Linked DNA regions of Oryza sativa Japonica Group. The protein of the gene in region 1 interacts with the protein of each later gene in a pairwise test. Links are inferred from orthologs where the notes say so. Each region holds a gene or a part of one and is shown on either strand. Other genes may lie near its edges.

Region 1 (8,118 bases):
TTCTTCAGTTGTGCCATTATAAATTGAAATTGCCAACAGTTGCAGAGGCAACTCAAGGTCTCATTCTCAGAAAACTCATCAGTCAGTTTCAGTGAAAACCAAGGGTGGTTAACAGTAACCACCCCACCAATGAGTCCATGATCTGATGATCACACCTCTTGCAACATCTCAAGTTATTAACAGGCATACATATCATCTCCCATAAACAAAGAACATATATCATCCCTGATTAAAACATGAGTTTATCCTTGCAGGTTTGGTAGATGATCACAAAGTTGACAGTGATGGAAATGGGGTCCAATCCAATGCCATGCTCAGTGTCCTCATCCACTGTCTCACACAATCTCTATCACCATTTGTGGGCACCATGATTTCATCATCTCCTCCTTTCTTGCAAGCTATCATTAGTAGCCACTTCATTTCAACAAGAGAGTACTGAGGGGGTGTTTGGGAGAGAGGGAAACAATAAGTCCTTAGGGGAGGGACTTATGTCTCCCAAACACCCCCTGAAAGATGGACTGAGCCTTGGACAAATTCATGTCAAGCTATTATTTAGGAATTTTTGTGACATGGAAAGTTGTCAAGCTTGCCATTTTGAACGCCAAATCGTGGGTGAAAGTTAGCACGAGTACACAATTGTGTGATTAATTTGCTTCAGTGGTTAATGTCAGCAAATGCCTATGTACTAGTATTTCAGATATATTTCTTTTTTTCACATCAAAATCATGACGAAGTTAGTGAAAACATAGGATTGAAATAATTCATTTGTGGAGGAATAGAACTTATCATTGCACATGGATTTGGAATTTGGGATAGTGTTAGGTGGTCCTGAATTCTGATCGGAGCTCCCACCTACCGACCCAACAAATTCGTGTCTAGGTGGTGTTTGGATCAGGGACTTAACTTTAGTCTCTGTATTTAGACACTAATTTAGAGTATTAAATATAGACTACTTACAAAACTAATTACATAAATGAAAGCTAATTTGTGAGACAAATTTTTTAAGCCTAATTAATCTATAATTAGAGAATGTTTATTGTAGCATCACGTAGACTAATCATGGATTAATTAGGCTTAATAGATTCGTCTCGCGAATTAGTCTAAGATTATGGATGGATTGTCTAAACATCCGATGTGATAGGGAAAGTTTTAGTCCCATCTAAACAGGGTCTTAATCGGTCTTGATTAGTACAATAGTACGAACTAACAGTTATTTAGAGGGGCCAGTGCTAGAAGAAAACACACTTGGACCAGTTGGTCGGCCATTCAACCATGACATGTCTGTCTGATAGCACTGCTTCAAAATTCTAAAACAAATTCGAAAGCAGACTTCAAAGGAATCATAGGATGGTGCTACTAACTTCGGTTTTGAAAATACATCGTTTTGAGCATGTTTCAGGTTAAACTTAAAAAAACTCTAAACATCTAGTACATCTTATACTGAAAGTATGAAAATTATAAGTACAGACGTATTTTGATTATTATAATTTCAACATGCTAGTATATAAACATACTGTAAAATTAGCAGTCAAGGTTGCATTTTGAAGGCCATATGGATGTTCAAAATAATGTTTTCAAAACTGGAAGAAGTACTGTCAAGTAGGCTTTTTTTTAGCTATTTTTTAATCACACAAAATGCAGAATGATGACAGGATGGATACCTGATTTACTGAAAACCGTGTACAAAATGTTGAAGCTCTTATCTGGTGTACAAAAAGTTGAAGAAAATTAACATTTGGCAAGGAAGATGCACCTGCCCAAAGGAATGAGTCAAGATGCAATGGAATGGAAAGAATAAACAAGAAGAAGGGAAGTGTACGAAACAAAGAAAGAGCTAATGGATCCAATGAAACCTTTGGACATTATCTAAAAAAAAAAACCTTTGGATTCCTACTGTTGTCTCTGTCGTCCTAACCTTATACAGCAACAATTTCCCGTGAACTCATGTTCAGAGAAAAGAAAAAAAAATCGTTTGTACCCATTGTCTGAAGAAATATTCCAAATCCGAGATTCCAGTAAAGTATAGCTGAAATATGAAGAAAACTAGCAGTGACTAAAAGAAATTTGTTCTCCGCATAAAAGACTCTTTTCGAGAGGACATAATATTGATAATATACAGGACCAAGAGAAGCAGTTTATTGGAAATGCAATTACAAAATAAAAGAGCATAGAGCATAGGGAAAGCATATGAATAACTTTATAGATAGATTATAGAAAAAATACATGAATTTATGGAGAAATAGAGACTCAGAGAAAAATATTTCACAAGGTCAGCTCCATTATTTGCTATTCAGCTTATCCGTCGTAACCAAAATTTAAATTTTAGAGTTAATTTTATTTTTACCGTACTTTATTTTTTAATATTGTCTTTTAAATTGCTAATAACACATATATAAAAGTTTACCCATACTGTTTTTTATCGTAAATACGCATTACGGTTTATAATCGGCTTCCTTAAGGCATTCCAACGAAACTTTATAGGATTATAAAATTTGATATAGACAAAAATAACTTACATAGCAAATGCTAAAAATTTCATACACAAAACCTACTCGATTTGAATCTTTTTAGGACAACGCTTTTCACTTCATATTATAAAAGCTTTGACTTTTTTTTGTCAAATTTTTTAAGTTTGATTAAATCTATAAAAAAAGTATAGCAATATCTCTAACAAAAATAAATAGGATGGGCGAACGACGGGAATTGAACCCGCGCATGGTGGATTCACAATCCACTGCCTTGATCAACTTGGCTACATCCGTCCCTTATCCAGCTAAAGGATTTTCTCATATCATCAAAATATATTCAATGTTATATTTAATAAAACTAACTTGATATTATAAATATTGTCAATTTTTTAAATAAACTTAGTTAAACCTAAATAAGCTTGACTAGAAAAAAAATTCAAAATGACTCGTAATATTTACAAACGGAGTGAGTAGAAAATAGGTTGACACAAAGAAAAATGTAAGGAACAGCAAAAAAAAAAAAAAAAAACAAACAAGAAAGAAAATAGAAATTCGAAGAGAAGGTTCCAACCAAGCATACCATCTTCTCCTTCTCCTTCCTCCTGCCTTCGTTCTTGTCTTGTCACACCCATGGAGGAGGAGAAAAAGGCATAGATACGACCTGGCTGCCCTCACAAAAATACTTCACCAAACCACCCTCCTCCTCCTCCCCCTTTACCATTTCCAAGTTCCAACCCCCAAAAAAAATCCAACCAAAAAGCGGAGATTTTCCAACTCTTATCATCTCCTCCTCCTCCTCCTCGTCATCGTCATCACCAGCACACACCCGAGAGAAAAAAATCCTATAAAGAAATGGATTGAGCCATCACCCAACGCCGCCAAGATCCTGTCCTCTTGTGTGCGCAACCTGTAGCTCCACCTCCACGCAGGATCAACACCCAAATCCCCCCATCTTCTTTTCTTTTTCGTTTCGTTTCTGCAAGATTTGCATCTTCTTCTTCTTCCTCCGAGGAGTGAGTGACACCTGAGATAGCGAGAGCGAGATTTTCTTCGGTTTTTTTGTTCCTCTTTTTGGCCATAAACCTCCCATAAAGCTCGGTTTCTTGGTTCGTTTTTTCTTTCTTTCTTCCTCTCCTTCGAGAATCGCCCGAGTGTGAAATCCAAGATCCCGAATTCCGTGTCTTCTTCTTCTTCCGTAGAAATCCCGGGGTGGGCAAAGCGGTGGGATTTCTGGAGAGGGGTAAATGAGCTTCCGTTTCTCGATTGGTTCTTGATCGCGTCTCCTCTCTCTCTCGAATTCATTAGCTTCTCTTCGATTCTTTGATTTCAGGGAGAGCGCTACAAGGCAAGAAGCTTGGGTGTCCGTAGTCCGTACGGTTCTTGATCTGGGGTCGCCGCCAATGCAGCCGGACCCGAGCGGGAGCGGCGGCGACGGCAACGCCAATGCGAAGGCGAAGCTGGCGCCGCCGCCGGTGACGGCGGCGGGAGGTCGGCCGGTGTCGGTGCTGCCGCACAAGACGGCGAACGTGCGCGACCACTACCGCATCGGGAAGAAGCTCGGGCAGGGGCAGTTCGGGACGACGTACCTGTGCGTGGACAAGGCGAGCGGCGGCGAGTTCGCGTGCAAGTCCATCCCCAAGCGGAAGCTGCTGTGCCGGGAGGACTACGAGGACGTGTGGCGCGAGATCCAGATCATGCACCACCTCTCCGAGCACCCCAACGTCGTCCGCATCCGCGGCGCCTACGAGGACGCGCTGTTCGTCCACATCGTCATGGAGCTCTGCGCCGGCGGCGAGCTCTTCGACCGCATCGTCGCCAAGGGCCACTACACCGAGCGCGCCGCCGCGCAGCTCATCCGCACCATCGTCGCCGTCGTCGAGGGATGCCACTCGCTCGGCGTCATGCACCGGGACCTCAAGCCCGAGAACTTCCTCTTCGCCAGCGCCGCCGAGGACGCCCCCCTCAAGGCCACTGATTTCGGCCTCTCCATGTTCTACAAGCCTGGTATGTGTGGTTTCTTAGTTTCACATTTGCTCATTTTGGTAAGCAATTCGTTGTTGTTATTGTTCATGTGTTTGCATTAAAATTGTGTACTGCTTATGTTGCATTCAAATGACTAAGTCGGAGCTTTGTTTATAGCTTGCCTTGGTTGAATCAATTAAGCTTAGTAATAGTTCTTTCATACATTGTTCATTTGGCTGTCTTCAGATTAATTGAACTCAGCAATAGTTCTTGCATACATTGTTCATTTTGCTGGAAGACAGCTTACTTGTCTGCTAGATTCTTACTTACTTGTGGCCCATCTGTCCTTCTGTTACACCCTGGTCTGCACTCATACATTGGGTTTTGGGTTTGAATAAATGAGGCTGAGATATGTGTGTGGTATGACATTGATATGATAATGGGAGAGGGAATTGAAACGTTCTTGGGTTCTAGCTGGAAACTCAATCTGTGCAAGTTAGTCCATTTTTGAGAAAAGGAATACCACAAACAGTTCCTACATCCTAGTACTAGTAACTTTGATGTAAATGGCAATAGTACTGCTTTTGTGGTTTATCTCATTTGAACTTTTTAATGCATGTCAAATATTTTTTATGATATTGTGATAGTTGCCAGCTGGTAATTTTCGCAAGGAACCATTAAGTATTTAAGTGCTCTTATGATTACGTTATGTAACCTTAAAATGGGTAGGGAAGAGGTATCTTTGTCTCCATGTAGTCACTATTCAGCTAAGTCTAGTTCAATGGTAGTGTTATGTATTGTTGGACATGAGATTGGTTGCAAATTGCCTAATTTAGGAAGATGATGTGAAATGCAGTGTCATACCTACTGCTACCACCATCGCCATTGTTGTTGTTCCTTATTTGTTTGTATCTGTACTGTGTATTTTGACTTGGATCTTGTCAGGAATGCTGTATGAGTCATGTTAAGTTTATGAAACTCTGATTTTCATTTCCTCAGGTGATAAGTTCTCTGATGTTGTTGGGAGCCCCTATTATGTTGCACCTGAGGTACTTCAGAAATGCTATGGTCCAGAATCTGATGTCTGGAGTGCTGGGGTAATTCTTTACATTTTGCTATGTGGTGTTCCACCATTTTGGGCAGGTAAATTATTTGCCACTAAACAACTAAATTAGTAGGTCCCTCCAAATTCTCACGTTTCCATTGTCATATTGTCTCTTGCCTTGCAGAAACTGAAGCTGGAATTTTCAGGCAGATTCTACGAGGCAAACTTGATTTTGAATCTGAACCCTGGCCTAGCATCTCTGACAGTGCTAAAGATCTAGTCCGTAATATGCTTTGCCGGGATCCTACAAAGAGACTTACAGCCCATGAGGTTCTCTGTAAGTCAACCCTGTTTCCTACTCTTACTCGCCATAGGTCTGCTTTGCTTAAATATGACATAGGTAGGATGTCTTCTTTTTTCTCCTTGTGATGGCATTGCCTATTCCAGGTCATCCATGGATTGTTGATGATGCTGTGGCACCTGACAAGCCTATTGATTCTGCTGTTTTGTCAAGACTGAAGCACTTTTCGGCAATGAACAAGCTCAAGAAGATGGCATTGAGGGTACGGAGATTTGTCTATAAGTTTGTGATTCAATTATTTGCTTATTTCAATTACTCTCAGGTTGACCTTGTTTGCCTCATATATGAAAGGCACCTGACAAGTCTCATTTTCTCCCCTGATTTGTTTGTAGGAAATGAATCTCACTGTTAACTTCATTTACTTATAAAAGTCTTGCATCTGTGGAATTCAAAAAATAATTAAGTGTTGATATATTCTACAACCATGTGCATTTTTAGTAGAGAGAGCTATCTGATCTCTTGAATCATGATGCCTCTTTTCATCCATTGACACCACCTTTGTTTGAACCCAGGTTCATTTGGAATATATCCAGTAACTATTCTGTTCAGGTCAATGTTAACTAAGATGATGTAGCAAACTGATTCTTTCTGACATTTGTTTGGGGCTACACGAAACCTGTTTCCTTGGCAGCCCAGACACTTAATGCATTATAGGCATCGTAGTTTTTCTTTTCTTTTGAAATGCTCGATCTAGCTTGTGAAACATGCAATGATCATCTTGAGCTCTTTACATATTGTTAAGTATCTTTCATTTTGCAGGTTATTGCTGAAAGCCTGTCTGAGGAAGAGATTGGAGGACTAAAGGAGCTATTCAAAATGATTGATACTGACGATAGTGGAACTATAACTTTTGATGAGCTGAAAGAGGGCTTGAAAAGGGTGGGTTCAGAATTAACAGAACATGAAATCCAGGCTTTAATGGAAGCGGTAAGTGCTTCTTTGTTAGTTGATCCTTCAGGGAAATGTAACTTGCAGGGGCCTTCTGATCCTCAGCATTTTGTATTTCTTGCATGCTGTAATTTTTATGTCTCGTAATTTACATCTCGGCATCTCTCTTGCCTTTGCTAAAATGGAAAAGAAAAATCCTTCACTAGGAAAGAAAGGTGTTTTGTATTAAGATTTAAGATAGCATGTCTTGCTGCTTTTGCTAAATTGTAATATGTTCATTTGTTTCAGGCTGATATCGACAACAGTGGAACCATCGACTATGGTGAATTCATTGCTGCTACTCTCCACATGAATAAGCTAGAGAGGGAGGAAAACTTAGTATCAGCATTCTCATTTTTCGACAAAGATGGAAGTGGTTTCATAACTATTGATGAGCTGTCACAAGCATGCCGCGAATTTGGCCTTGATGATCTTCACCTTGAGGATATGATTAAAGATGTTGATCAAAACAATGTGAGTTGTTCTTATACTCTGCATTCTGTAGTTTGTCCAATTTTTGACTTGTTTGTTCACCAATTGATTTCTTCACCCGTTTTCAGGACGGACAAATTGACTACAGCGAGTTCACGGCGATGATGAGAAAGGGCAATGCTGGTGGAGCTGGAAGGAGAACCATGAGGAACAGCTTGCAGTTGAATCTTGGTGAGATCTTGAACCCCAGCAACAGCTAAACTCCTACAGGAAGGCCATGGCTGTTACATGCCATCATTGTCTGAATCTCTGCACGCCTCATCAGCTGGACTAATCTCTAAGAGGGCAAAGCCGTTGAGTGAATTGTGCTTTGGCGTTACATGAGACGCTGAAGAATTTTCGTAGCAGTAATAGCTACAGCTACTAGAGTGTAAGAGAAATTGGCGTTATGTGATCGTAATATCCTATCAGTGTAACTGATCTTAGATGATGCTGGAGATGATAGTACAATGAACAGCTTATATGTATTCCTGTCCTTGTAGACTGAACATTGTTGATAGTTGGGGAATGCTCTTGGCATCAATTCTGTCTCTTCTATCTATTATTCTATCGTTAGTACAGGTTGTTGATGTTAAATGTCACTCCAAGTTCTAAACATAATTTTCAGGCTCTGCTATTGAGCAATCTTAAACTTATGCTTAAAATATGAGCCAGTATTCTTAAACAGTTTTATAAAAATTATAGTAAATGTCAGAAAACAATGTTTAAATAGCTTTCAAATGCTGTGTTCTAAATTGGGTTTAGGCTAGGTTAATCACTCGTTTAACGTAAGCACGCTTTTCAAACTGCTAAACGATATGTTTCGTGCTAAAACCTCATATAGAGAAGTTTCTTAAAAATCAATTGAAGTTTACAATATATAA
Region 2 (7,965 bases), on another chromosome or scaffold:
TATGTCACAGCCTGTGCTAGAATGAAGTCCTTTCGTACTCAACATTTACCAATATAAGTACATACATATTCTGACTTGTGATACTTTTTACCAATAACAAACGGTAGGGCGGCCCGAAGCGCGCCTAAAGTTCTAGTAAAACCAATTTGTTGCAAAAACCCACCCACCCAAACCCTCCACGTGTGTAAATAGCTGAGTCAGCCCGTGACTTGTACCCGTAAAAGACCAGACCAATGGGTCACGTTTGGTTTCAGGTGCATCCATTTGAACCTAGTCCTAGGTGTAGATCAAAGAGAGAAGACGGTCTCGAACAACGCGAGGGCTGAGGGTAGCGGCGAATCAGTATAGGCAATTACTACATCCGTCCTAAAATATAATAACTTTTGGCTATAAATCTAAATGTACAGTTATCCAGATTCATAGCTAAAAATGCTTATATTTTGGGATCAGGGGCGGAGCTGCAGTACTATCATTGGGGTCATTAGACCCTGATGACATTCGATCAATCAAGTGAATTGTTCATTATTTTGTAGCTAATGACCCCAGCAACAAAAGCTTAATGACCCCGGCCAGCCTGATAAACTGCTGGAGCTCAGGAAGGCTGAAACAATTGTACCGTTTATTTCTTTGGAAGCATAATTTGTTAGCTGTGTTATGCTACTGTCAATCCGCTACTAATGCTGCAATTAGACATATTTGATCTATTAACCAACTACTTATTTTAGCTATGTGCTATGTATATCAATGCATTAGGCCTGAAGTTTTGCTAATCAACTACTAGATGTGTTTTTTAAGTTACTCACTCTATCTCAAAATATGTTACTTCTAATATTCAAATTTGCTTTAAAATATAGCTATTTTCTATGAACCATCCCATCTCCAATCACAAAATTCCTCGATATAATTTTTTTCACCTACTTTTTTTTCCCAACCAATCACAATAATTTCACACCCTAACATTAATCTCTTAAAAAGACGTAGGTAGTTGTATTTTGAGACAGATGGAATAATAAACAACTTTCAGAACATACTTGTATGTCTGAAAAAACACATGGTTGTTATGCCCGGTTATATGTAGTCATAACTTTTAAAATTTTGGACCTTAAAAACCTCAGAAGTTCTTATAGAATAGACTTTAAATATTTATTTTTAGCAAAATGGAACAATCCCAACTTACTCATAGCTCTAGCTCAAAAGTGAGCTAAAAATATCTAGCTTCGAGAATAATTATAGTTTCAAACACGACATAAATACAAGTAAAAGCCATGACCCCAGTGATTCAAAATGCTGGCTCCGTCCCTGTTTGGGACAGAGAGAGTAGCTAAGGTCAAGCTCTGTTCCCCTGTTGCGACTACACATCAGCGGGGTCGGGCTGACTTTATATTCATGTGAAGGGGTTTGGTTGGGTGGGCCTTTGCAACGAATTGAATTTTTTAAGGGAGGAGATTTTAAAACGAGTGATAATTGGGGTGCTTTATACAATTTTGCCTTATCAAGATTTGTGGGCTTTAAGATTTAGTCCATGTGGTCCAAATAGTTAACTAAAATCTTATAAAAATTAAATAATACAAAGTGAAGTAGGTCTTAAATGTCCTTACACAAATATGAAAGATCAGTTTTGATCTACGCATAGAGAAAACAACAAATTTCAGCTGTGAGTGGGAGGTTCCGATTACCGAAGGCGTCAGATTAACGAGAGCAGCAATCATGTGCCACCAAATCGCTTGTGCTGCTTTGCAGCTTGCTCGGCTGTGGCGCAGCTGGGCTGTATCTACAGTACAAAGCCGTAGAAATTTTGTTGCGTTTGATGGAGCTGCTGCGGCTGCACAGCCACTGCAATCTCTTCCGAACACGAAAACAGAAGATGAAAGTACGAAACCGACCAACAGGATTTGCCAAGGCGTTCACACAATCTGCGTGTGTACTGCAATAGATTATCTTCTGCCAAAAAAACAAAATCCTTGCGCTTTGCACACCAGTACCCATAAGAGCAGAATGATTTATCCAAAACTATGTGATGGATCTGCATGTTCTAAAAAAAAAAGTGATGGATCTGCACAGATAAGTTCATCGGAAGAGGTTGCTGCTACTTGTACAGTTGTACTAGCAACAGAAGAACACCAACAGCTCAGGACATAATATGCATACTGATACAGTTCCAAGGGTGAGATACCACAGATCAGAGAGGTATACAAAATGTAATAGAGCAGGCCACATGATTGAATTATAATCGACAAAAGCAGAGTTCAGCATTTACAAGTCAACCTGTAATCAACGCATGCAGCCCACCAACTCAGGTAACGACATCAGTTTCTCAGGTTCTCTGTATGTATCCCAGTACATCAAGTATAAGGAGAACAGCAAGCTCTATGAATACGAGTCCATTTGACCTCGCAAAACACCCCCCACCCCCCTAAAGCATTGCACGCGCCCTACCACCACGACGGCATTCGCCACTGGATTCCGCAGTCTAAAATGGGCACCAGCGGTTGGACCAGACCGACAACACATCAAGATCCACCCTTCCTAGTTCCTCCTTCGCTTGTCCCTGGGAGAAACCATGGCGGTCGACTCTGTCACATCCTGCAGATCAAGCATCGAGTGTGATCTCATATGAGCTGATAACACCTGCGGTGGACGAGGTGCAGGTGGAGAAGCAAAGACACCCATGGCGGCATTGCTGGGCCTTCGGAGTGGCTGACGGGTATGCAGCTTCGGAGAGCGGTAGTGTTCATCATCACTGCCGCTGTTGCTCCCCGAACTGCTTGTTGCAGCTGGTGACAATGTCATTCTCCTGCAATTTGTAGGGCTGATGATCACATCATCTTCAGGGAATACCTCTTTGTTCTGTGGCTTGCCCCACTTGAAACTGAACGGAAGAAGACCTTTCCGCTTCCTAGGGGATGGGTTTTCTGGCTTTGGAAGACTTTTCTCAGGTGGAGATGGGATCACGGAATCTTGAAGCTTTGCAAAAGATCCAGACTTGCCATTGTAGAACTTGCATACCCCTTTCCTGCAATAGATAAGAACAGAATTACTCAATAAAACAGAAGATTGTAAGATGCTGGAGCAAAGACTTGGAAAACATCAGCAGTACACATGCTCCTCACAAGGAACAGACAAACAAGTTTGCCAGATCAACGATAGAGACAGGCTGCGGAATATTTTAATGTTGCAGATCAACAAATAATTACACATGCTACAAGATAGCTAACAAAAGCATGTGAAAAAGATTGTGGTGTCTGACTGATCCTGTTCCTGTGTTAATCATGTTAGCCATATTGAATTGTGTTCAAGACTTCAAGTTCACAATACCCAATCTCTGCTTCCATCATATGGCTAGAATGCACAATTCTATGCGACTACAAGTGACAAGGGCCAATAGGTACTTGGTAGTATGAACTACAAACCCACTCAGCTACTAAGTAGTTGTGCTAGACTTACACTAGTACTGAAAGAATTCAAATAGCAGTAGCGAAATTGTACAGTAGTTGTGCATGCTCAAAAGAAAAAAAAAATGTCCCTATGCAAAAATTATAACAATTCATGATATCTTCATGACAAAAATATTACTGCCTGAAGGTAATATGCATCAACTGATCTCAGAGCTATGCCTACCCCCCCTGTACACAATAGTCAGGTTGCAAGAACACAAACGAACAAACTCAAAGTCATTACTACGACCAACCTAGAAGATAGATTATTCATTGCTTTTGTCAAAGATGCACATATCTGCAATTTACACCATCTATTGTATTGATCATTAACAAAGAAACCCAACCATTAATACACCATAGAACTTTTTGTAATTCTGATAAAACCCGTTTTGTGTGATTTCATCCCATAATACTGCGCTTATATAGTCAATATCAAGTATCAACACATACCAAAGGAACTATGAATCATGGAAATTGGTCTTTCAGTGTTAGTACAACTAATGTGCCCTTCTGAAATTATAAGATGGCATGGACTTCAAATGAAATATTCAAGTGCTAGGATCCTTTGATTCCTCGGAGTAAGAATGAAGTGAAACACCAACAAAGTAGTACTAATCACAAGTCATTCTTGCTGAAGCCTATACAAACGCATTAGAAATTGTCTAATCAGAACCTTTCGTGCTCAGAACATTCAGCATAAAGATTTTAAGGGCATGGCAAGAACATTAAGGACTACTACTTACAAAAATATAATCGACCCCTAATGGGTTATGGGTATAACCCAAACATGAACCAACAATAAGCAAGCATGACGAAACCATACGCAAAAGTATCCCGGCATCCAGTGCATTCGCTGTATTCTTCCGACCTCAAATATCCCAGCTTCACGAATCGATCGAAACCCATGTTCACAAATTTGTTGGATGTAAGGCGGCACAAAGAATCACCTAGAACCCTAAATTAGCTCTTTCTTTCTTTCTTTCTTTCTTTTAACAGTTTGACTTCAGTCCGACCAATAAATCCCCCAAATTCCAAGATAAGCATCGACTCAAGGATAGATAACCAAACCGCTCCATACAAATTACTCCATGACCACTAACCGTCCACGAAGAACCAAGAATCTTGCCTACATTCCCCAACTAAAACCGATCAAGAACCAGTATTTTCCACTGCATTGGTCCAAACGAATCAAGAAACCCCCGAAATCTCTCTAGAGGAACACGCGCACCGGGGGATCAAGAACAGCGGTTTCTACCCCGCATTACCCCCAAATCACCCAAACGAAACGCAAGAACACCTCGGGACCGATCAAGATCCGTGGGGGTAACGACGAATTGGGCGGGGAGGGGAAGCCAGCCATACCTGAAGGGGAGGGCCTCCTGGAGCGCGTCCATGGTGTCGAAGGGCCCCTTGTACGAGCTCTGCACCTCGCCGTCGCCGCCCTCCACCTCCTCGCCGTCCCACTCCCACTTGGCCGCCGCCGCGGGGCTGTCGCTGTCCCTCCCCACCGACGACGAGCTGCGCGCCCCCACCGACGCCGGCGGCGGCGAGGCGGCGTAGGCGCAGCGGGCGACGCGGCCGAACCGGGGCCCGCCGCCGCCCCCTCCTCCTCCTCCTAGCCCGGGCCCACTCTCCAGTGCGATCGACATGGCCCCCCTCACCTCACCTCCTCTCTCTCCTCACATGCAAAGGAGGCCGCCTCCGCCTCCTCCTCTTGCTGCTTGCTGCTTCTTTCGCTTTCGCTCGCTTGCTCGCCTTCACACGCGCACGCACACCGAAAGACTAGGGAAATCGCGAGAGAGTGGCTTTTTTTTTTCTTTGTGGAGTGATGGGTTGGGTATTTATGCTGCAAAAGGAGGGCAGGTTGATTCCCTTTTTTATTTCCCTTTTCTGCCTGAGTTTGCAAATGTGCAAAGAAAGATGGAGTAGTAATATATAAGTAAAGATTTGCCCCGAACTTTTTTTAGCTTTAAATAATTTCTCATACATTTAGATAACCCGTAAAGAAAAACAATGATATGCACTCCATTTGAGAGATTATATATTAAACAAGTGAAAAGAGACATGACTCTAGATTGGTACCCAATAGCCGAAAGGACACGACTTTAATAGAGAGTTGTGCCAAATAACAACATGCCAAGCTAATACCGTTAAAGTAGAAGACGATGCAATTTTGGACATAGAAGCGAAATTGAACCAATCCCATCCAATCCAATAAATTCGTTACGACAAATCGACAACCAATCCCAATCATCCACCAATGAGTTAGTTCTAAAATAAATCGAGCATTTTTATTCCAACATCTATAGTTTGACTAAGCTCGGTCGAATAAATATATGTCTATCTCAGCAGAATCTAACGTATGCTTAAATCCAAGAGTTACTTACATTACAACTTAAGTGCAAACAACATATAGATTATTAAGAGAGTGATTGTCTTCATTGCTACCTAATGTTTTCTTTGCGGTACATTGCTAACTAATGTTCATCAAGGTCACCCACCTTTGTGATTTTAACTTTTGTAAGGATAAATTGGTACCTGCCTTTGCGCTGCATCACTGCCTCATTTACCACAAGTACACCTATTCCCCTAATGGTTTTGTTAGTGGTGTTGGTAAAGTAGGCATTATCTGGTGGTGTTGGTTACTGATCTAATGGTTGCAGATGGGGTTGATTTAGTACAATTTATTATTTGTGCTAGAAATGATAAAAATGAACTCAAAAAATGGAAGGTTATAGTTCAAGACAACTGGACAAGGACCCCTTTTGTAATTCAGAAAACCAATTGTCAAATAAATACATGTATTTTTTTTCCTTCTCTCCAAAGCTGATGTATAATAAAGGGGATATCAAGATATTGATCAACAATGTTTTTTTTAGATAATGAGAATTCGGGTCTTTACTTTAATAAAAGCTACAACCAATTATTATAGTTTTCACACATCATACACAATGTTACGAATAAATTAAAATTTTGAAAAAACGAGAAGGACACAATAAAATGATAGCACCAAACTAGATAATTTATTGTGCGTGTAGTATACATCACAAAGATATACAGCATCAGAGATGTTCTTCTTCGTACAAGATAGTACACCATATAGCTAGCTAGATTAATTAATTCATACCTGAGCACGGGATTTGAAGAACCACAAATACATTTATGCATTAACCAAACGTACCACGTACGTACTTGACATGTTTTATGTTCGGTCCAATGAAAAAAACACGTCGTACACGCTCACCGAAAAGCTCGGCTGCTGTACTACGTGTATACGTGATCACTTCATCACTTGGAAAAGTTCGTATTCGCCCGTGCGCGCCGCTCGGTTGATCGATCCATCACACACGCACTTACACACGGTTGCGCGCGCCTGCGTACGTACGTGCGTGCGTGCGTGCAACGAGAAATAAGCTGGCCAACCTAACGACCAGCCGAGACCTACCCCAACAACTCGCGCGAGCCCTTTCTCGCGTTATTAATTGTTCGTTCGTGTCATCGATCGATCGTGTGCCCGATCGATCACCTCACGTGTCCATGCATGCATCAGCTCTAATTTCGATTCCGATTAATCAACAAATTAATTTGTATATATCGTCGAGATTTAATACAGGGGAGGAGGAGTAATATAGTAATATACTCAATATCTTTAGTTAATTTAGCAGTAATTAATCAGTGTATAATAATGGTGATTAATTACTGGGTGGCGATGAGGTTTGGGCCACGGATGGCGAGGGCGGCGAGGGGGCCAATGGAGAGGGAGTTGATGTACGTGCAAGGCTCGGTGCAGGACGAGTTGCCACGCTTGTCGGAGAAGTTGTCGCCGCCGTCGGGGCCGCCCATGATCGCGCCGGTGAGCTCGTTGGGGTTGGGCCGGTCGGGGGTGAACCACTCGCTGAAGCTCATCCCGCAGTTGACCTGGTAGCCCGGGGGGAGCACCGGGGTGGAGGCGCCGCGGTGGTGCGGCTGCGTGGGCGGGTTGACGCCGAAGCCGACGACGTAGGAGCGGCCGCGCGGGTTGGCGCCGAGGAGGTAGTCGATCTGCTGCTTGGCGAACTGGAGGAGGCGGGCGGGCTGCACGGCCTGGGCGCCGCACATCACCGGCTGGTTGATCCGGCGGAGGATGTCGCTGTAGGCGACGAAGAGGAAGGCCGTGCTGGTGACGTACTGGGAGTTGGCGCCGTCGCGGAGGTGGATCATGCCGCCCGGGGTGATGGACACCTGGTGGAACGGGGTGTCCGGGAGCACGGCGCACACGAAGTTGTCGGCCTGGGACTTGAAGCTCTGGAGGCCGCCGCTGGATGTCATGTTGAGCTCCGCGAGGAGCACCTGCGCGCCCGGGAACTTGAGGTCCCAGCTGAACTCGGCCACGCTCGACGAGATCGCCTCGTGCCCGATGAAGTCCGCGTACACCTGCCTCTTCGTCGCCAGGTACAGCCACGTCGCCGCCCACAGCAACTCATCCTGATCGATGCAGTCACAATCACAATATATATAACGTGTCAAATTTTTTACGTTGATAAATTTT

The links. The genes of interacting proteins can lie anywhere in the genome.
Region 2: the proteins of CPK24 (region 1) and protein OXIDATIVE STRESS 3 LIKE 1 interact in binary tests that used the Arabidopsis thaliana proteins (3 or more experiments, as listed by UniProt). The link is inferred for Oryza sativa Japonica Group from reciprocal best matches to the Arabidopsis thaliana genes CPK4 and AT5G21940.

What each region holds. Positions count from the first base shown.
Region 1 is NC_089045.1:3,543,091-3,551,208, reverse strand, and holds CPK24 (calcium-dependent protein kinase 24), read left to right. Parts: upstream 1-3,118; 5' UTR 3,119-3,708; intron 3,709-3,798; 5' UTR 3,799-3,868; coding exon 3,869-4,472; intron 4,473-5,429; coding exon 5,430-5,573; intron 5,574-5,659; coding exon 5,660-5,812; intron 5,813-5,922; coding exon 5,923-6,038; intron 6,039-6,595; coding exon 6,596-6,763; intron 6,764-7,012; coding exon 7,013-7,237; intron 7,238-7,323; coding exon 7,324-7,455; 3' UTR 7,456-7,790; downstream 7,791-8,118. UniProt on the Arabidopsis thaliana protein: May play a role in signal transduction pathways that involve calcium as a second messenger. Functions as a regulator of the calcium-mediated abscisic acid (ABA) signaling pathway. Phosphorylates ABA-responsive transcription factors ABF1 and ABF4 in vitro.
Region 2 is NC_089036.1:33,458,342-33,466,306, reverse strand, and holds protein OXIDATIVE STRESS 3 LIKE 1, read right to left. Parts: upstream 5,141-7,965; 5' UTR 5,087-5,140; coding exon 4,800-5,086; intron 3,014-4,799; coding exon 2,527-3,013; 3' UTR 2,189-2,526; downstream 1-2,188. Other genes in the region: endoglucanase 8 precursor, read right to left, coding at 7,134-7,901. UniProt on the Arabidopsis thaliana protein: Promotes slightly the tolerance to zinc (Zn) and to oxidizing chemicals (e.g. diamide).